3 linked regions of the Arabidopsis thaliana genome follow. The protein of the gene in region 2 interacts with the protein of the main gene of each other region in a pairwise test. Each region holds a gene or a part of one and is shown on either strand. Other genes may lie near its edges.

What was found. The genes of interacting proteins can lie anywhere in the genome.
Region 1: the proteins of NAC012 (region 2) and AT2G35910 interact in a two-hybrid assay, tested with the Arabidopsis thaliana proteins (one large-scale study listed by BioGRID).
Region 3: the proteins of NAC012 (region 2) and SHN3 interact in a two-hybrid assay, tested with the Arabidopsis thaliana proteins (one large-scale study listed by BioGRID).

What each region holds. Positions count from the first base shown.
Region 1 is NC_003071.7:15,071,567-15,076,994, forward strand, and holds AT2G35910 (RING/U-box superfamily protein), read right to left. Parts: upstream 2,575-5,428; 5' UTR 2,313-2,574; coding exon 1,659-2,312; 3' UTR 1,321-1,658; downstream 1-1,320. Other genes in the region: AT2G35920 (RNA helicase family protein), read left to right, coding at 4,012-4,281, 4,392-4,537, 4,629-4,728, 4,806-5,024, 5,111-5,206, 5,353-5,428.
Region 2 is NC_003070.9:11,863,576-11,869,886, reverse strand, and holds NAC012 (NAC domain containing protein 12), read left to right. Parts: upstream 1-2,732; 5' UTR 2,733-2,936; coding exon 2,937-3,123; intron 3,124-3,218; coding exon 3,219-3,484; intron 3,485-3,920; coding exon 3,921-4,544; 3' UTR 4,545-4,658; downstream 4,659-6,311. UniProt on the Arabidopsis thaliana protein: Transcriptional activator of genes involved in biosynthesis of secondary walls. Together with NST1, required for the secondary cell wall thickening and lignification of sclerenchymatous fibers and secondary xylem vessels (tracheary elements).
Region 3 is NC_003076.8:8,817,735-8,823,382, forward strand, and holds SHN3 (Integrase-type DNA-binding superfamily protein), read left to right. Parts: upstream 1-2,723; 5' UTR 2,724-2,902; coding exon 2,903-2,982; intron 2,983-3,517; coding exon 3,518-4,007; 3' UTR 4,008-4,328; downstream 4,329-5,648. Other genes in the region: AT5G25400 (Nucleotide-sugar transporter family protein), read left to right, coding at 5,549-5,648.

The sequences.
Region 1 (5,428 bases), on a different chromosome or scaffold from region 2:
TTCTGTGTGTGTGTGGATTCTTCCTCAAGAAAAACTCGAAGCGTCCGATTTGTTTTTTTATACTCAGGCCTCTTTGTTCGTGAAACCGACTTACCGGCGCGTGAGGATTTTCTTTTTCTTCACGGGTCGGAAAAAAGTTTGAACCAAATCAAACCAAACTAAAGTAGTCAAATTTCTCAATCTGAACCGGAAGACCGCTGGTTAATAGATTTTTAACGTATGATGCGTCTCAAATTGTTTGATTTATTGTATTCGCGTTTAAGATCCACTCATTTTATTACCTTGTATCTTATTCTTTTTTTTCATAGATACTTTCTTAGTAGATCAGAGTTGTAACTAAAATTTTGAGAAATACTTAGACATTCACCATTACATAATAAAAATGTTTAGAATGTATCAAATATTTAGAATTTATTCAGTATTTAATTTTCTTATTAAGGAAAATAGATTATATAAAAAGTAATAAAAGTTGAAGTTAAAAGATGGGAAAGAAAGATTTTTTGGGTAAATTTTTTGACATTGCTGTGAACAATTGGGTCTTAGTCAATTTCTCAGGGCCCAATATGAAAGTATTCATCATTAATTCTGGCAGATGGGCCAAAATATTAAGAAGCCTAGCACAATAAGTCTTAAATCAGCATCATTGCTTCAAGTTGAAGCCTTCGACGTTACCGATGATGGTTTGAACGACCTCGGTTTGTCTTGTTATGAAAGGAATACAGAGCCGAGAGAAAGAGCATATCACTTTTGAGTGTTTGTAAAAATGAATTTGAGCATATCTTTGGTTATTTCTGGTTATTGAGTCTGTTGACTATAAACGATTGTAACAAACTCTTTGAATCATTAATGAGAAATTGAGCTTTTCACCATGTTTTCTCTCTCGATCATGGTTCCTAATATTTGGAGTAATATTTTTGTTTACCGAATACTTTAAATAAGATAAGAGTAGTTTTATCATGGTCAACTCATTTTTATCATCTCACCTACTTAATTTCAGCCAGCTTGAGATTGGAGACAAAAACAATCGTTTTCAAGTGTTTTTTTTCTTCTTGATTTATATCTCTTAATCAACGTTTTATATCTTTTCTTAAGGTCCTCATAAAAGTCTTTTTCTCATATCATCATATGTATTGGCTAACGGTTTACCCAATAAGACAAATACGCTGTTAAATATCTGGTTTTGTTTAACAAAAAAAAAATTGCTAATAAATAAACCATATGATTGAGAAAGATTGTCAGACTGACTATCAAAAACGCCTAATTGATTCGATCCCATTATCTTAAGTTCCAACTTGTCCTCAAACTCTTTTTTTTTTCTTTGACGTCTCAATATTTAAAATGATCTCTCAAAGTTCAATACAAGCCAAGAAACATATTTGCCAATATTCAAAACGACTTTAATTACTCTTTCTTGGTACGTATGTATAGATAAACTCGTTCACATTGCTTAAAGAAAAACTAATCCAACAAAATTGTGAAAAATTCATCCTTAACCTCCTTTCTCTTACAAATCTTCGGCTTCGAAGAGTGTATATACAGTGATCAGTTAGTGACCAAAAATAACAAATTTACAAGGAATTAAAAGAAGAATTAATAACGAGTTTAAGCCGGAGATTAGTCAAGATTTCGATTTCTTCGGTTATAAAATAAACAAATCACTAGGACATTCTTGTGGCGGCCACGGAGGAGGCTAAAGGGACAACCTCGGCGAGGGGAGTAGACAGAGGAGTTGGAAGCGGCGAAGTCCGACACACAGGACACGTAGGATTGAGTCTAAGCCACGTGTCGATACATTTAAGGTGGAAGAGATGGTTGCAATCTGGTAGCTGCCGCAGCAGATGTTTTCCCTTGTAGTCTCCTAAACAAATGGCACAACACGACGCCGTTGTTGGTCCCTTTGCTTCCGAGTAGAGAATCTTTGGATAGCTTTGAATGGTGTCCTCGTCAAGACCGGGGACAACGTCGATGATGACATGGTGGTGATGGTGATGGATACGTGTTGAATCTTGGTTGGTTTGTGAAGGTGAAGAAGAGAGCTGGTTACGTGTGCAATAGTATGAGGTGAGGGTGATGGTGGTGATGAGGAGGAGGACCCCGATGGAGACACCGATTCCGTATCGAAATCCTCCTATGTCGTCCGTGCCGAGGAGGCCGTTGTAGTCCGGCATCTCGGACGGTGGCGGTGGTTGGAAATTGTTCATGGCGGGTTTGGTTTGATGGTTTTGTTTAATGGGTTTGGGAGGAGGAAGAGGAGAAATAATGGAGAGGTTTTTGGTCAGCGATTTGATATAAGACAATGTAAATTGAAGCATCTTGGGGTTATCAAAAGTCAACGCTAAGAGAGAGAGAGAGACAAAGGGAGGAAATGCATGTGAATGAGGATAAGAAAGCTTGTCAAAGCAAAGCAAGAATTGTGTGACTTGTGGATGGTTAAAAAAATATTCAATGTATAAATTTTCTAATATTGTATTGGTAATACTGTAATAGTATAACGCATATATAAATATATTGACCCATTAATTCGTTGTTTATTTCAAACATAAAACACTTAGTTGCACAATTGAATTGGATACAGGGCTAATGAATTTAACGTGTGACATGTATTAAGATTTGATTTAGGAATGTAGGGAGGGGCCAGTGGCTAAGATTAGAGAAGGTTTACGCTGAATTAGTTTGAAGTCAACGTTGTACTTATATACTAATCTTGTTGTTTATGTACGTTTAGTTATCTCCTTTATTCAGGCTTATTTAAGTCCAATCATGTCACCTAAGCAACGTTTAGTTTCCTTCACTTGCTTTTAAAGTCGCAGTGTTATCTTATTTTAGTATTAGAATATTTAAAACTTTGAAATCTCTCCATATTAGAAGATTAATATAAAGTTTTGTTTTTCTCCTAAAAGTGGCAAGACAATAAAATAAAATATAATTGTAGGTAAATAATTTGTATATACTAGGAAATCCAAATTTAACCAATTGAGTCGTGGGCATTAACATTTGTATTACATAAAATTATATTTTGGCAAACTACCATAGGATAAAAATCATTCACTTAACGGCCAAGTTACTAACACAAGGCATCTTTGATAATGGAAAACAATCTGTTGGACAGTTGTTATTAATGAAGAAAATGCGTCATTGCATGCTCGCATGATGTATATTTTAATATACACTAGCTATGATAGTATATAAACAGATATACATGTAATTAAGAATGGAGATAAATGAACGTATATTATCCAGGGGCGGATTCATTTGGTGAAGAATGAATGTATTCAGTGAATTTTAATTGATATTCGAATACACCATTGTTATTGAACACTTAATTATTGCCGCCGCTCTTCCAATTTTTCAATTCTTTTTTTCCCCAATCAGTAGAGTAACTATGGGCTTTTAAAACCCATAGCTCCGGATTCCCAATCATATATTCTATAGTCTATGTCATCTAAAACAATATGAATTTAGATAAACAATTTATGACCTTCAAGCCATATATTTGGGCCGGATACTCAAAACATATGAAATTACACTCAAACACTAATTGAGCTACTTAGGCCAAATATATAAAGGAAACACTTACTACTAGGCATAAAAAGTTTGGAAGAAATAATAAGAGAGAAAAAAATGTTATAATCCTGACATTGTTTTTTTATTGTTAACTCACTCTTGGAATAAGTTGTCCAAGTCTCATAGTTGACTCAGTTTGGTGGTGTCACAAATTAGTTCCATCATTACTAATTTGCTATCAGTTTGGTGATGTATCAAATACTGTTGATCTAGTAATTTCACAAAAAGCGCATATCTTCCGGCTAATGATATTAGATTTACTCATATGTGTAATGTGTATGTATGGTTGAAAGTTGAAGCTAAATTAGGTTTAAGTCACTCATATCATATGTGTGTGTTATCTTGTATAGTGTAATACAAAATTCAATACAAAATTTTCCAATAAGCAAAAATAGTCGTCAGTGCGAGTTCAACTTTAAACTGTTTCAAACTTTATATTCATTACGAATGCAACAGTCCCTCTCTTGTTTCTCCACGCTTCGCTTTCTCCTTCCATTTTCTTCCAAACTCTCTCCGCTTCGTCCTCTCTTTCACACCGCCGCTATGCCTCCTCACGGTCCTAATTCTCAAGGTGGTCGTCGAGGCGGAGGTCATTCCTCCGGTCGTCGTGGTGGACGCGGCGGCGGCGGTCGTGGCGGTGGTGGTGGCGGCCGGGGGGAACAGCGATGGTGGGATCCTGTGTGGAGAGCTGAGCGTTTGCGCCAGCAACAAGCTGAGGTAATTGATACATTGTTCTTGTAGATTCTGAGTTCATTACTTCAATTTAACGATTAGACATTGATACATAATTTCGAATCAGATGATGAAGTAGTCATAATTTATCTCAGATGGAAGTACTTGATGAGAATGAATGGTGGAACAAGATTGAGCAATGGAAAACAGGAGGAGAACAAGAGATGCTAATTAAGCGTAATTTTAGCCGTGGAGATCAGCAAACACTTTCTGATATGGCTTTGCAGATGGGTCTTTACTTGTAAGTCTCTATATCTTCTTCGACAACTTCGTTTTAAGTCCATATGGTGAGAGTATGTCATGAATTTGCTTATCGTTTTTTGGAATGGAAGTCATGCGTACAATAAAGGGAAGGCTCTTGTTGTTAGCAAAGTTCCTTTACCAGATTATCGAGCGGATCTTGATGAACGGCATGGATCCACTCAGAAAGAGGTAATAGAGATGTTGCTAGTACGAAAGTTTTGTACTCAGTGGTGGCTGCTGAAACGCTTATACTCTTTTTCTTGTAGATTAAAATGTCCACAGAGACTGAGAGAAAACTTGGAAGTCTTTTGAAAACAACACAAGAATCAGGGTCCTCTGGTGCCTCTGCTTCAGCTTTTAACGATCAACAGGATCGTACTTCAACTCTTGGCTTGAAAAGACCTGATTCTGCTTCCAAATTGCCGGATTCTCTTGAGAAAGAAAAATTCAGTTTTGCACTCAAGGAAAGGCAGGAAAAGCTTAAGGTACATGTATTGCTAAAGTAAACCGTATGCATTATGGTAGATGTAGATTCTGGACATAACATCAATTTATAACCGTTTCAACACAGGCAACTGAGAGTGTAAAAGCACTTAAAGCGTTCAGAGAAAAGCTACCTGCTTTTAAAATGAAAGAGGAGTTTCTTAACTCTGTTTCACAAAACCAGGTAATTGTTTGGTATGTTTTTCTTCTCTGTATTCCATCAGCTATTATTTCTGCCTCTCTCCAATAATATTGTCAAGCTATTTTTTTTAGTTGTCTTGTGTTGTGTTGATCTTGCGCTTATAGTTGTGTCCGTTGTTTATTTTTCAGGTATTGGTAGTTTCAGGAGAGACCGGGTGTGGTAAAACAACACAGCTTCCTCAATTTATATTGGAAGAAGAAATAT
Region 2 (6,311 bases):
TAAATGTGTATCATCATCATCAATAACGCGATTATTTGTGCTGAAGGATTATATATTCAAAATGATCTAGTTATATATGTCACATGATTGCCGTTAACAAGACACATTTGAAGAAGCTAAGCAAGAAAAACGGACACTTTTGCGACTTGTTACATAATTTAACTTATAGGTCAAAAGAATTTGATTAGTCATTGCAACTACGTGTGGATGTCACTTTCTATTCAACCAAAACTCACAATATTATATGATCTAGTTTTGTCGTATTACTGATTTGTATTATAAAATGTTATTTAATTTGAATTCTACGTAGATATTGCTCATGCATGATAGTATGTATCTAAACTATTCAAATAACTAACTACGTGGATATTTTATAATCCAAGTAAAAAGCAGAAAGTGGGTAACTACGTCAGTATGACTATACTTTTATCGGAATTGCTTGACATCCAAACTTTTGCTATGCTTCACCAACCAATGCAGTTTCACTTAATTATTAACTATTGACTATGTCTTATTAAGTTAGCACTAATTCGTTAATCATTCAAAACGTTATTTGATTGAATTACATATTACACTCTCTTTCTGCATCACCACTCACACCATATGCAACTATAACCAACTCATCACATTCAAATGTATTAATTGGATTTTGGTGCGAGATTAAAAATTGAAAGGAAACAAAATATGATAATGGGATAAAATCTTGAACGGAAACTCAAACTAATCCTCATAAGGTATAACAAAATAACAATTTAAGCTAAGCACAACAACATACAAGTTCGACCTTTTCCTTTGATGATCCAGCCCAACAGTTCTCTTATATCTCAAACCATTCGACCATTTGAGCCAAACTAGCTAAACCTGCAGGAATCAAAACCAACAAAGATTCAGATTAGCTAAACCGGTTTCATCCCTTTGTCACATGACTCACATCCGTCTTCTACATAACGATTTCTAATGATGTGAGCTCTTAACTTGCTCCAGCAAGATCATCAACTTTGGAGCACCTTCAATGATTTAGTTAACATGTTAGATAAATTAAATATTCTTGTTTCAATATATATCAACTTTAGTGTAAAAGCCTTAACATTCTCTTGAATATTTAATTTATTTCTCCTTATTTCGATTTAATGACAAATGTGAATTAATTTTTGTGATATTTTTGTTCGAAATTAGTTTTCAGTTAATAACATACATGTGAGCATGGGACACACATGATTTAACAAAAGGGAATGACGAAATGATATATCAAAATATTAGTATGGGAACAAATTACGAGGTGAAACTTCACACTCAACTCAATTAAAACTAGAATAAAGAAATGGAAAAAGTGAAAGAATGAGAGGTCAAATGTGGTTAATCATTATGTGGTATTAGTTAATCCATCAATTGTGTACCCAAAAGCATGATTAAGCATAGAATTTAGAGAAACAAAACATCATTATTAATGTTGAAACACAAAGATCCCATCAACAGACAAATGATAAGTACAGTGCATGTAGGGTAACAACTTTTATGTACATGTTATATACTTATATTATATAATAAGAAAACGATTAAAGTGTCATTGCTCCAGCCTCTATTTGTAAATCATATTATATCAGTATGCTTAATTCCAATAATTAAGTCCATAACTAAAATATATACACATATATGTATGTTAAATGGTTGAATATATACATATATTTTCATAAACAAATATTGCTAATTAATTCAGTTATTTGTGTACATAATCCAACTATCACCTTTTTAGCTGGAAGTGGATATTCCAACATGTCAGTCTGTCACTCCCACATTCATACTCTCTATTCTTTTTAGCTATTTCAATATCTACGGTTAAATATTAATGGCTATATAGCCTTACCCTTCATTTTAGTTTTTTTTTGGTATTCGCATAACCATCGAATACTCAAACTTACTATGTAAGATGGTCTGAATAACTATTTCCGATTTAAGATGAATAGCTAGATTGAAATATACATGCACTAATTGGACATGCACTAAAGGCAGAGGTGAATTAAATGATGAAATGAAGATGAAGTGTCACACTTGTGCAAAAAGCATGTCCCCTGCTCTTCTCCGCTTGTTTCAATTTCTTTGACTTTCATCACGTTTTTGTCACTTAAATACACCAAAAAATATAGTACAATTAAACATCGAAAATCGTCCAAAAAGAAGAAAAAAAATCATGGAAAGTTCTTTCGTTAATGTTACACACATTATCTTGATTAGGTGACACCAGATATTAGAATAAAAATGATAGATTATGAAAAGAAAAAAAAAATTGATGTATTTTTAGGATACATCGAAAGGAATGAACATACCAAAAACATGGGAAAAAATAGATAACTAATTAACATGGTAGAATGTAGATGACGTAGATCATGAAACGAGTGTGTGATATATTAATGAAAATTATTTTAATATACGTAGCTATATTAGAAAATAATTTACATTTATTTTCTTCTAAACAAATCTATACTTTATATTTACATACATTAGTAAAGACCAAAACACATGGAATTCAAATTCTGCAATAAGTAATTGCAAGAAAACACAAAGATTAATCCCCCACTAAACCCGTTTATTTACGTTAGTATTTTTCCGTTTTATACATTACACATGACATGACATTACACGTCAAAAGAAATATGTCTTACGTCAGAACTTACGTATGATCAAACTCGATTTAAACATAGAAACATCTGTTTACTAAATTATACTAATTTCATAAAGACACTTTAATGCATGAACTTCTTTGTTTAAATAACAATTTCCCCCTTTTGGGGGCTATGTCTCGTCGAGTCCTACCACCATTATAAATTATCTCATCGTTTGCTTTCTTTTTTTTAAGTTGTAACCATTTCCACTCGTAATCATACAACTTCTCTACTCTTCTAGAGCAAAAACCCAAAAATATATTGCTATCTTCGTTAATGGCTGATAATAAGGTCAATCTTTCGATTAATGGACAATCAAAAGTGCCTCCAGGTTTCAGATTCCATCCCACCGAAGAAGAACTTCTCCATTACTATCTCCGTAAGAAAGTTAACTCTCAAAAGATCGATCTTGATGTCATTCGTGAAGTTGATCTAAACAAGCTTGAGCCTTGGGATATTCAAGGTTAAACCCTAAATATGAAAAAAAACTCTTTCATTTCTACGAACTCTCTATTTCTTTGTTCTTTATTTTTGAACCATTTTGGTATGCAAATGCAGAGGAATGTAGAATCGGTTCAACGCCACAAAACGACTGGTACTTCTTCAGCCACAAGGACAAGAAGTATCCAACCGGGACCAGGACGAACCGGGCAACAGTCGCTGGATTCTGGAAAGCTACCGGACGTGACAAAATCATCTGCAGTTGTGTCCGGAGAATTGGACTGAGGAAGACACTCGTGTTCTACAAAGGAAGAGCTCCTCACGGTCAGAAATCCGACTGGATCATGCATGAGTATCGCCTCGACGATACTCCAATGTCTAATGTAAGTATATATAGCAATCATCAATTTGCAGTTTAGGTTAGAATAAACAAATTACAAACTTATAGTCAAAGAATTAGCTAGATTCGTTTCATGCTATAAAAGGTTTTGGTTCATTTAGTACGCACTAGAGCCTTCTTTTAGCATCTGCAATTAAAGTAATCGAACATGATTCTCTGAGTTACAATAAGATAATTTCTTATGAAATTAACACATCATATATACATTTATATAAAAAGATTTTTTCACAAGGCTTAAAATAGTTTAACACGGCTCTACAAACAATACGTAGTTAACTAGTTATGGTTGCATATCCAAAAGAAAAACCAACATAAAAGATTTTTTTTTTTGTTTCAAAATAAAAGTTGCATTTTTACATCATCAAGATTTAATCATCTCTTATTGCATTTCATAAGATCGATTTGTGTTCCATTATCAGGGCTATGCTGATGTTGTTACAGAAGATCCAATGAGCTATAACGAAGAAGGTTGGGTGGTATGTCGAGTGTTCAGGAAGAAGAACTATCAAAAGATTGACGATTGTCCTAAAATCACTCTATCTTCTTTACCTGATGACACGGAGGAAGAGAAGGGGCCCACCTTTCACAACACTCAAAACGTTACCGGTTTAGACCATGTTCTTCTCTACATGGACCGTACCGGTTCTAACATTTGCATGCCCGAGAGCCAAACAACGACTCAACATCAAGATGATGTCTTATTCATGCAACTCCCAAGTCTTGAGACACCTAAATCCGAGAGCCCGGTCGACCAAAGTTTCCTGACTCCAAGCAAACTCGATTTCTCTCCCGTTCAAGAGAAGATAACCGAAAGACCGGTTTGCAGCAACTGGGCTAGTCTTGACCGGCTCGTAGCTTGGCAATTGAACAATGGTCATCATAATCCGTGTCATCGTAAGAGTTTTGATGAAGAAGAAGAAAATGGTGATACTATGATGCAGCGATGGGATCTTCATTGGAATAATGATGATAATGTTGATCTTTGGAGTAGTTTCACTGAGTCTTCTTCGTCTTTAGACCCACTTCTTCATTTATCTGTATGATTATCTATACATACACATACACAAAATATAAAATAAAGTTTGTTAAAAAATGTCTCATGTTCTATTGATAGTACGTCTTGATTTTGGGGTTTAACATTTGTTAATGGTGGAGGGTAATTTTTTTATAATATTTATAATCATAAAATTTACGAAGTTAAAGAATGATATTATATACAAAACTTGAATAACGACTCTTTCAATTGCTTACTAAGCTATTTTAGAAGTCATTACATTTAGTTCTTTATCTTTGACTATTAAAGCTAAAAGATGTCCAAAAAAAAAAAAAGCTAAATGGTAGAACTTTTCACATCCCTCATCTTTCATTCTACATTTCTTACATGCCCACTATTGAATTTGAATCCAAATTATGATACGAAGATTGCCATATTTGTACAACCACGAGAATATATGTTTATCGCTTAAATCTTTTGTATTTGCGAATCATAAAGCCCATAGGCCATAGTGAGAGTTAATATTCGGTAAATTTGTACTTTGGTTCAAACGCACATGGTGAATCCGTATTTTATAAAAAACTTTCTAAATTAATAATGAGTTAATGACAGAACTATGATGTATATGTTAATTTATAGTAATATTATTTTTTCTATAAATTTCAAATCTCAAATTTTTTAATTGTATTATCATTTAATATTTTATCTTAAAACTAATTTGAAAAATATGAGTAGAGAAAATTGATCTTAAAAAAGTTTACTGGTTTGGATATTATAAATTTTATAGTTCCAACTTGAACATTTTGATATTTAAAATAAAAATCTTTTGATGGTGAATTAGAAAGTCTATACTCTATAGAATTCACTTATGCAAAAGATATATATATATATATATATATATTAAATTAAAAATAAAAATCTTTTGATGGTGAATTAGAAAGATATATATAGTCTATTGAAATGAAATGATACATATTCGAAATTAAAATTAAAGATTCTTAGATTAAAATAAAAAACTGAAAGAAGTTTTGGCTATTTTGATGACGAAGTTATAGACGATACTAGTTAATACTATATTTTGAAAACACAACAAAAATAGAGATGAAATCTAACGTCAACTTTTATTTATTTATTAAACAGCTAAAACTAATACATTAATATATTTTGAAAAATTATTACTATTTTATACATCTGAATTTTTTTATTTTACAATATTCCTATTCCAGGAATGTTTTATAATATTTCTTAATTTTGTGAATATTAATTTATATGTTTTACTGTATAAAAAACTAGCATATAACACGGCTATTTTTATTAGTTTATCTGGATAAAGTATCATTGTCATTTTGATGAAGGACTTGTATAATGAATGAAGTGATACTTATTTTGACTTTCATCTAAGTAAAGTGTACCAAATAATAACGCAGCGTAATAAGATTCTCGCTTCGCTATAATTACTTCACCTTTTGGTGCAACTATGTTATTTTTTCATTTTCGTTGGAAAATCCTCATGTCGTTTTTCTTGTGCAAATACGACAATCCAATTACCACTTATCAAATTACGTAACCAATAGTTTTTTTTTGTTTTTCTTTTAATTTTCTGACTAATATTACTAAAAAAATAGTGATGTTATCGAGAAAAGTGTAGAAGTAAGCATATTGGAACACACAAAAATGTCTGAATATAGTTAATTATACGGATCAAGAATCTCGTTAAACGCAAGATAATGGATCCAACTTGGCTCGATTAATGAATTGGAACAATGTCACTAATGAAAGAGGCTACAAGACACGATTCAGTTAAATGCAGTATGAC
Region 3 (5,648 bases), on a different chromosome or scaffold from region 2:
GTTGTTAGTGTCAGGTGCTTCCAAAGAAGTGCCATCTCATGGAAAATTGTATCAACCAAAACACAATTTTGACTCATTGAGATTTGTCCTTCACAGTAAAAAAATGTTATAGATTTTTGTAGACTCATTAATAAAAGCAAGTGTTCATGCGCCATTGTATATTTATTTAGTTTTGGTTACCAAGTGATGTTCCAGTGGTAATTACATTCCATTGGGCCCAAATAAACTTCACAATAAACAAATATGAAAAACCTTTTGTTTCTTGTTCAAGAAACTCGACCTAAGCAATACCAGATTCTCTAAAACAATACAAACTGGGTTTTCTCTCTTATGCCAACCTTTTCCTGTCTTGAGTGAAAAGCCTAGTTGATACCCATTTAAACAAAGATCTATAAAGACAAAATTTGTTGAAAACTTGGCTTTCCATTAACAAGTAATTATTTCTTTCACAATATCATACTAAAGATGAATTATACGTATATTTGTCGTAAATAAACGGAGCGATATATCATAGAGAAATATCCTAAAATAGCACTCAAACAAGTTTAATGGACAATTAAAATAACATTGTCCACAAATTTGTAAAATTAGCTTTAGTGAATTTACTCAGTAACTATTTTATAATTATATAAATTAACAAAATTAATTACAATTTGAAATCACGATTAATTTACAAACAATCGTGTGAAACGTCAATCGAATGTTAATAACTTTATATTAGTTTTTTACTATGAATTTGTGTTTTTTTAGAGTTTTAGAGATTGTGTGTTAAATTTAGTAACAAACTTACTTTCATGCTATTTATGAGAATTGCATATTTCTAGACCAATTTTTTATTATTATAATTCATATAATTATTCTTGAATTATTTATGTGCTATTTGTGAGAATTACCAATTTCTAGACCAATATTTTATTATTATTCATATAATTAAACGTTTATTGAATTATTTTAGCTCTAAAAAATATAATGAAATTTAGAATTGTTATAGAAACTTTAAATGACTCAAAACTGATCTTTGTTTTTTTGTCAACCACACATTAATTAAAAACTGATCTTTGTTAAACATCTAAATATTGAAAAACAAAAGGATTACCACCGCACCTATCCTGCATCGTCTTGTACCATTTGCATTCATCAGAGCCATTATATATTCATGTGGCTGTCACATCCTTATATACATTTCAACTTATAAATTTAATTTTGTACGTTTAGCAGATGTTGGTGAATTCATTTATTCAAGCTTAAGGTTTAACTCGTTCTTGTCTCCTTTAGGTTCATAACATTTAATGGACAACAACTACTCCAAATATCCGTGGACTTTACCACGCGACGCACCGACAATTCTCTAGCCTTTTCATTAATTGATCAGTAAAAACACTTCTATAATTTTAATTATTCTCAGAAATTTTAACCGGTAGTAACATAAACGTAGATGATCGAAAAAGATGAAATCGAGGTCTCTGTTTTGTGTCGAATTAATAGATCTATAAGAAATCAAACAATGAAAATTAAATAGATGAATGAAATATGTTTTGACGACGTTTTCACGTCACTGTTTAAGTTATCTGTTAGTAAAATTTGATAGCATTTAATTTGAATTGCTATGTAACTCGGAATAAATTCGACGGCAAGAGGTGTGGGATGTGATCAGTCTTCTAATTAAGTGTAATCTTTACAAAAAATCAGTATGAGTTAATACAGGTTTATAAATAGAAAGACATCTACAGTAAAACCTCTATAAATTAATAATGTTGGGACTGCAAAATTTTATTAATTTAGAAAGATTTTAATTTATCGATAAATTAATATTTATTAATTTATAGAGAGATTTTCGTAATTTAGTAACTTTTCAAAAATTTCTATAAAATTTTTTTCATTATAGAAAATATCTTTCAAAAATCAATTACAAGTAAATAATAATATCATGTTTAGAAAACAACACCAAAAGTTTTTGATAAAGTAAAATACTATAACTAAATTTAAATAAGAATAAATACAAATTTTAAGCAAAAAAATATTAGAATTATATTTCAAAATAATTTCTTACATATAATGTATATATAGTTGATATATTTATAAAATTATTAATTTATGATATTGATGGGACCATATATTTACATAAGATTTTTTAAAAAGTTATTATCTTATTAATTTATCGATTTGTGTCACTTTTTACACTGATCCCAACTCGGGACTGGAAGAATTTATTAATTTATAGAGGTTATTAATTTATCGAGTATTAATTTATAGAGGTTTAACTGTATATGAATAATTGAATACACATGGGACATCATTATAGTTACCTTAGTACGATTTTATGCATTTGGTTACCAAAATCCACTAGGCTTCGTAATTGGTTGTGGGTCAGTGTCCATTCGATAGTTTGCATTAGCGATAAACACTTAAAACAGTAAAACGTGATCTATTTTTAAACAATAACATTTCTTCTTATCAAATATTCACATAATTAATGAAGAAAAGAGACGAATTGATAGGCAATAAGAAATATGATCACTTGGTACCATTGTATGCATGGTATGAACTGACATCAAGTATTTGTACGTTGTAGGGTAATTATTAACATTGTAGAATGACAAGTATGATCAAATGGAAAAGGATTAGTTATATGTAGCAAAACTAGTATTTGTACTTGGACTATCTTGTCATGTAGTTTTCCTAACGCTATATATAATCCAATAACCCCATGACACGGAAGAGATAGGGGACATACAATAAATATCAGTAGAGAGGACGTGGGAAAAGCAGAGAGTTAAGTGAGTAGTTGGAGATAGAAAGATCAGAGACGAGGAATCTCTCTCCCACTCTCACTTTCTCTCCTATTCTTAGTTCGTGTCAGAAACACACAGAGAAATTAAGAACCCTAATTTAAAACAGAAGAATGGTACATTCGAAGAAGTTCCGAGGTGTCCGCCAGCGTCAGTGGGGTTCTTGGGTTTCTGAGATTCGTCATCCTCTCTTGTCAGTTCTCTCTCCCTCTCTATCTATTAATAGAGACAACAGTATAAATCTGTTTATGCAAGTCCATGCTATGAGTTAAGTTTACATTTTTGGTGTACGTGTAGGGCAGTTTTCTGATCATTGATTATATTTTCGAAGATTCATGCAAAGCTCTTATAATATCATGCATTTTTGTTTAAGTCGTTTTCCTTATTTTTTTCCAATTAAAAAACCCACGTTTATTAACATATACATATGTTGAGTATTTGTACTTTTTGTGTTGTATTTTGAAATTTTGAGTGTACATAAATTTAAATGCTTTGTCATATAATTGATACTGATGTATTTTCTATGTCTTAGTTGGATTATAGAAAATCATATAGCAAAGAATTGGGAAGGAACGAACACTACTCACTATAAACTTTCCTCAAAAAGAAAACGACCCAATTTATTATCAGTAACAATTTATAACAAATTTGTTGTGTGTTTGTTTTAGTACTTTGAAGTTTGAATAAAATGTGTGTTTTTTGCTTACGTAACTTATGTGAGCTATCAGGAAGAGAAGAGTGTGGCTAGGAACATTCGACACGGCGGAAACAGCGGCTAGAGCCTACGACCAAGCCGCGGTTCTAATGAACGGCCAGAGCGCGAAGACTAACTTCCCCGTCATCAAATCGAACGGTTCAAATTCCTTGGAGATTAACTCTGCGTTAAGGTCTCCCAAATCATTATCGGAACTATTGAACGCTAAGCTAAGGAAGAACTGTAAAGACCAGACACCGTATCTGACGTGTCTCCGCCTCGACAACGACAGCTCACACATCGGCGTCTGGCAGAAACGCGCCGGGTCAAAAACGAGTCCAAACTGGGTCAAGCTTGTTGAACTAGGTGACAAAGTTAACGCACGTCCCGGTGGTGATATTGAGACTAATAAGATGAAGGTACGAAACGAAGACGTTCAGGAAGATGATCAAATGGCGATGCAGATGATCGAGGAGTTGCTTAACTGGACCTGTCCTGGATCTGGATCCATTGCACAGGTCTAAAGGAGAATCATTGAATTATATGATCAAGATAATAATATAGTTGAGGGTTAATAATAATCGAGGGTAAGTAATTTACGTGTAGCTAATAATTAATATAATTTTCGAACATATATATGAATATATGATAGCTCTAGAAATGAGTACGTATATATACGTAAACATTTTTCCTCAAATATAGTATATGTGTTGTGATTCTAAGACTTGTAAACTGATATGGCCTACTGTTTAAAGAGTAGTTGATATTTTCTATTGAATTTGTGGACATGATATAATTACAGGAGATTAGTATAGTAGTCATTATGATACTTATGAAGGTACAAGTGGTAGGATGATAATTAATTAGTTTAATAAAGAATAATGAACATTAAATGTGAAAGAGATTTGCCACTTTTGTTAAACACATCTGCGAATCAGATTCTTGTGATTCGAATGTTAGTCCTACCTAGATTAAGAAAGGTTTTACTATTTTAACATGTTTACCTGGTTTGGGTAAAGTTCATGTCCTGTCCTATTCCGTCTTGTCCCGATCATGATAAACTTTATGAGCAATTCTTATAGAATTTTATTTTAAAATACTGATTTTTGATATTCAATTTTATTTGATTATTTTTTACTTAGGCATGTGATAAAGGCGATTTTGACTTAGTTTCACATACAAGTTTAAGTAAATTATCTTACATAACAAAAGAGATTCAAGTAAATAAATCTAAGCGGGCTAAAATTAATCAACTAGCTCAAGTTGAAACATTTTATCAAGTGAACCTCTTCCAAGTCTAGATAGCATCTCAAGTTTATATATGATATCATATCATGGACACACTTTGGATTTTGGATATTTTGTGTCGATGTTTAAACATCTTGTTTAGATATAAGGAGAGCATCTATTTTGACATAAATATTTAATAGGTTAAGTTGACGAATTTTGATATTTTGGATATTTTGATGCGGTAGGGTTATTTTATTATTTTTATTCTATTTTGACTGAGACGATTATATATAGATTACCGGCAATATTTTTGTTTTTTGGATACTTAAAATATAAATACTGTTATATATGTCTTCTAGATATTTTATATGAGAGGTCTAATAAGTTTTAAAAATACATAAATATGTAACTAATTAAATATTCATGTTATATCGAATAAAAATATTAGTATTCAACCGCACTATATCATTTATGTAAACATTGTTTCTCAAAAATGATTTAAAATCTTAAAACGGACACAAACACCAGGTATAAAGTTTTAACTAGTTATATTGGCTGGTTTAGAGTTAAATTACATTTTGTTAGTTCAGAATTTGACTGGTTTGGTCGTTTTAAAATTTAATTAATTTCGCTATTATTCTTTTTATTTTATTTTATTTATAACCGAAAACAATTATAAATTGGTGAATCACTTCCGTTACGTGTGAGTCTCTCTCTTTTAGTAAACTCTGAAAACGTTTTTTCAGGATCTCACCAAAATTCACAAACTTCGGAGAATACACCACCGTCTCCGCCGCAGAACCACCGTCGTAAGAGAGGCAAAAACATCACGAATATGGGTAAAGGTGGATCACTAAGCGAAGGCGTGATTAAGAACATAATCATCTCCTACACATACGTAGCAATATGGATCTTCCTAAGCTTCACCGTCATCG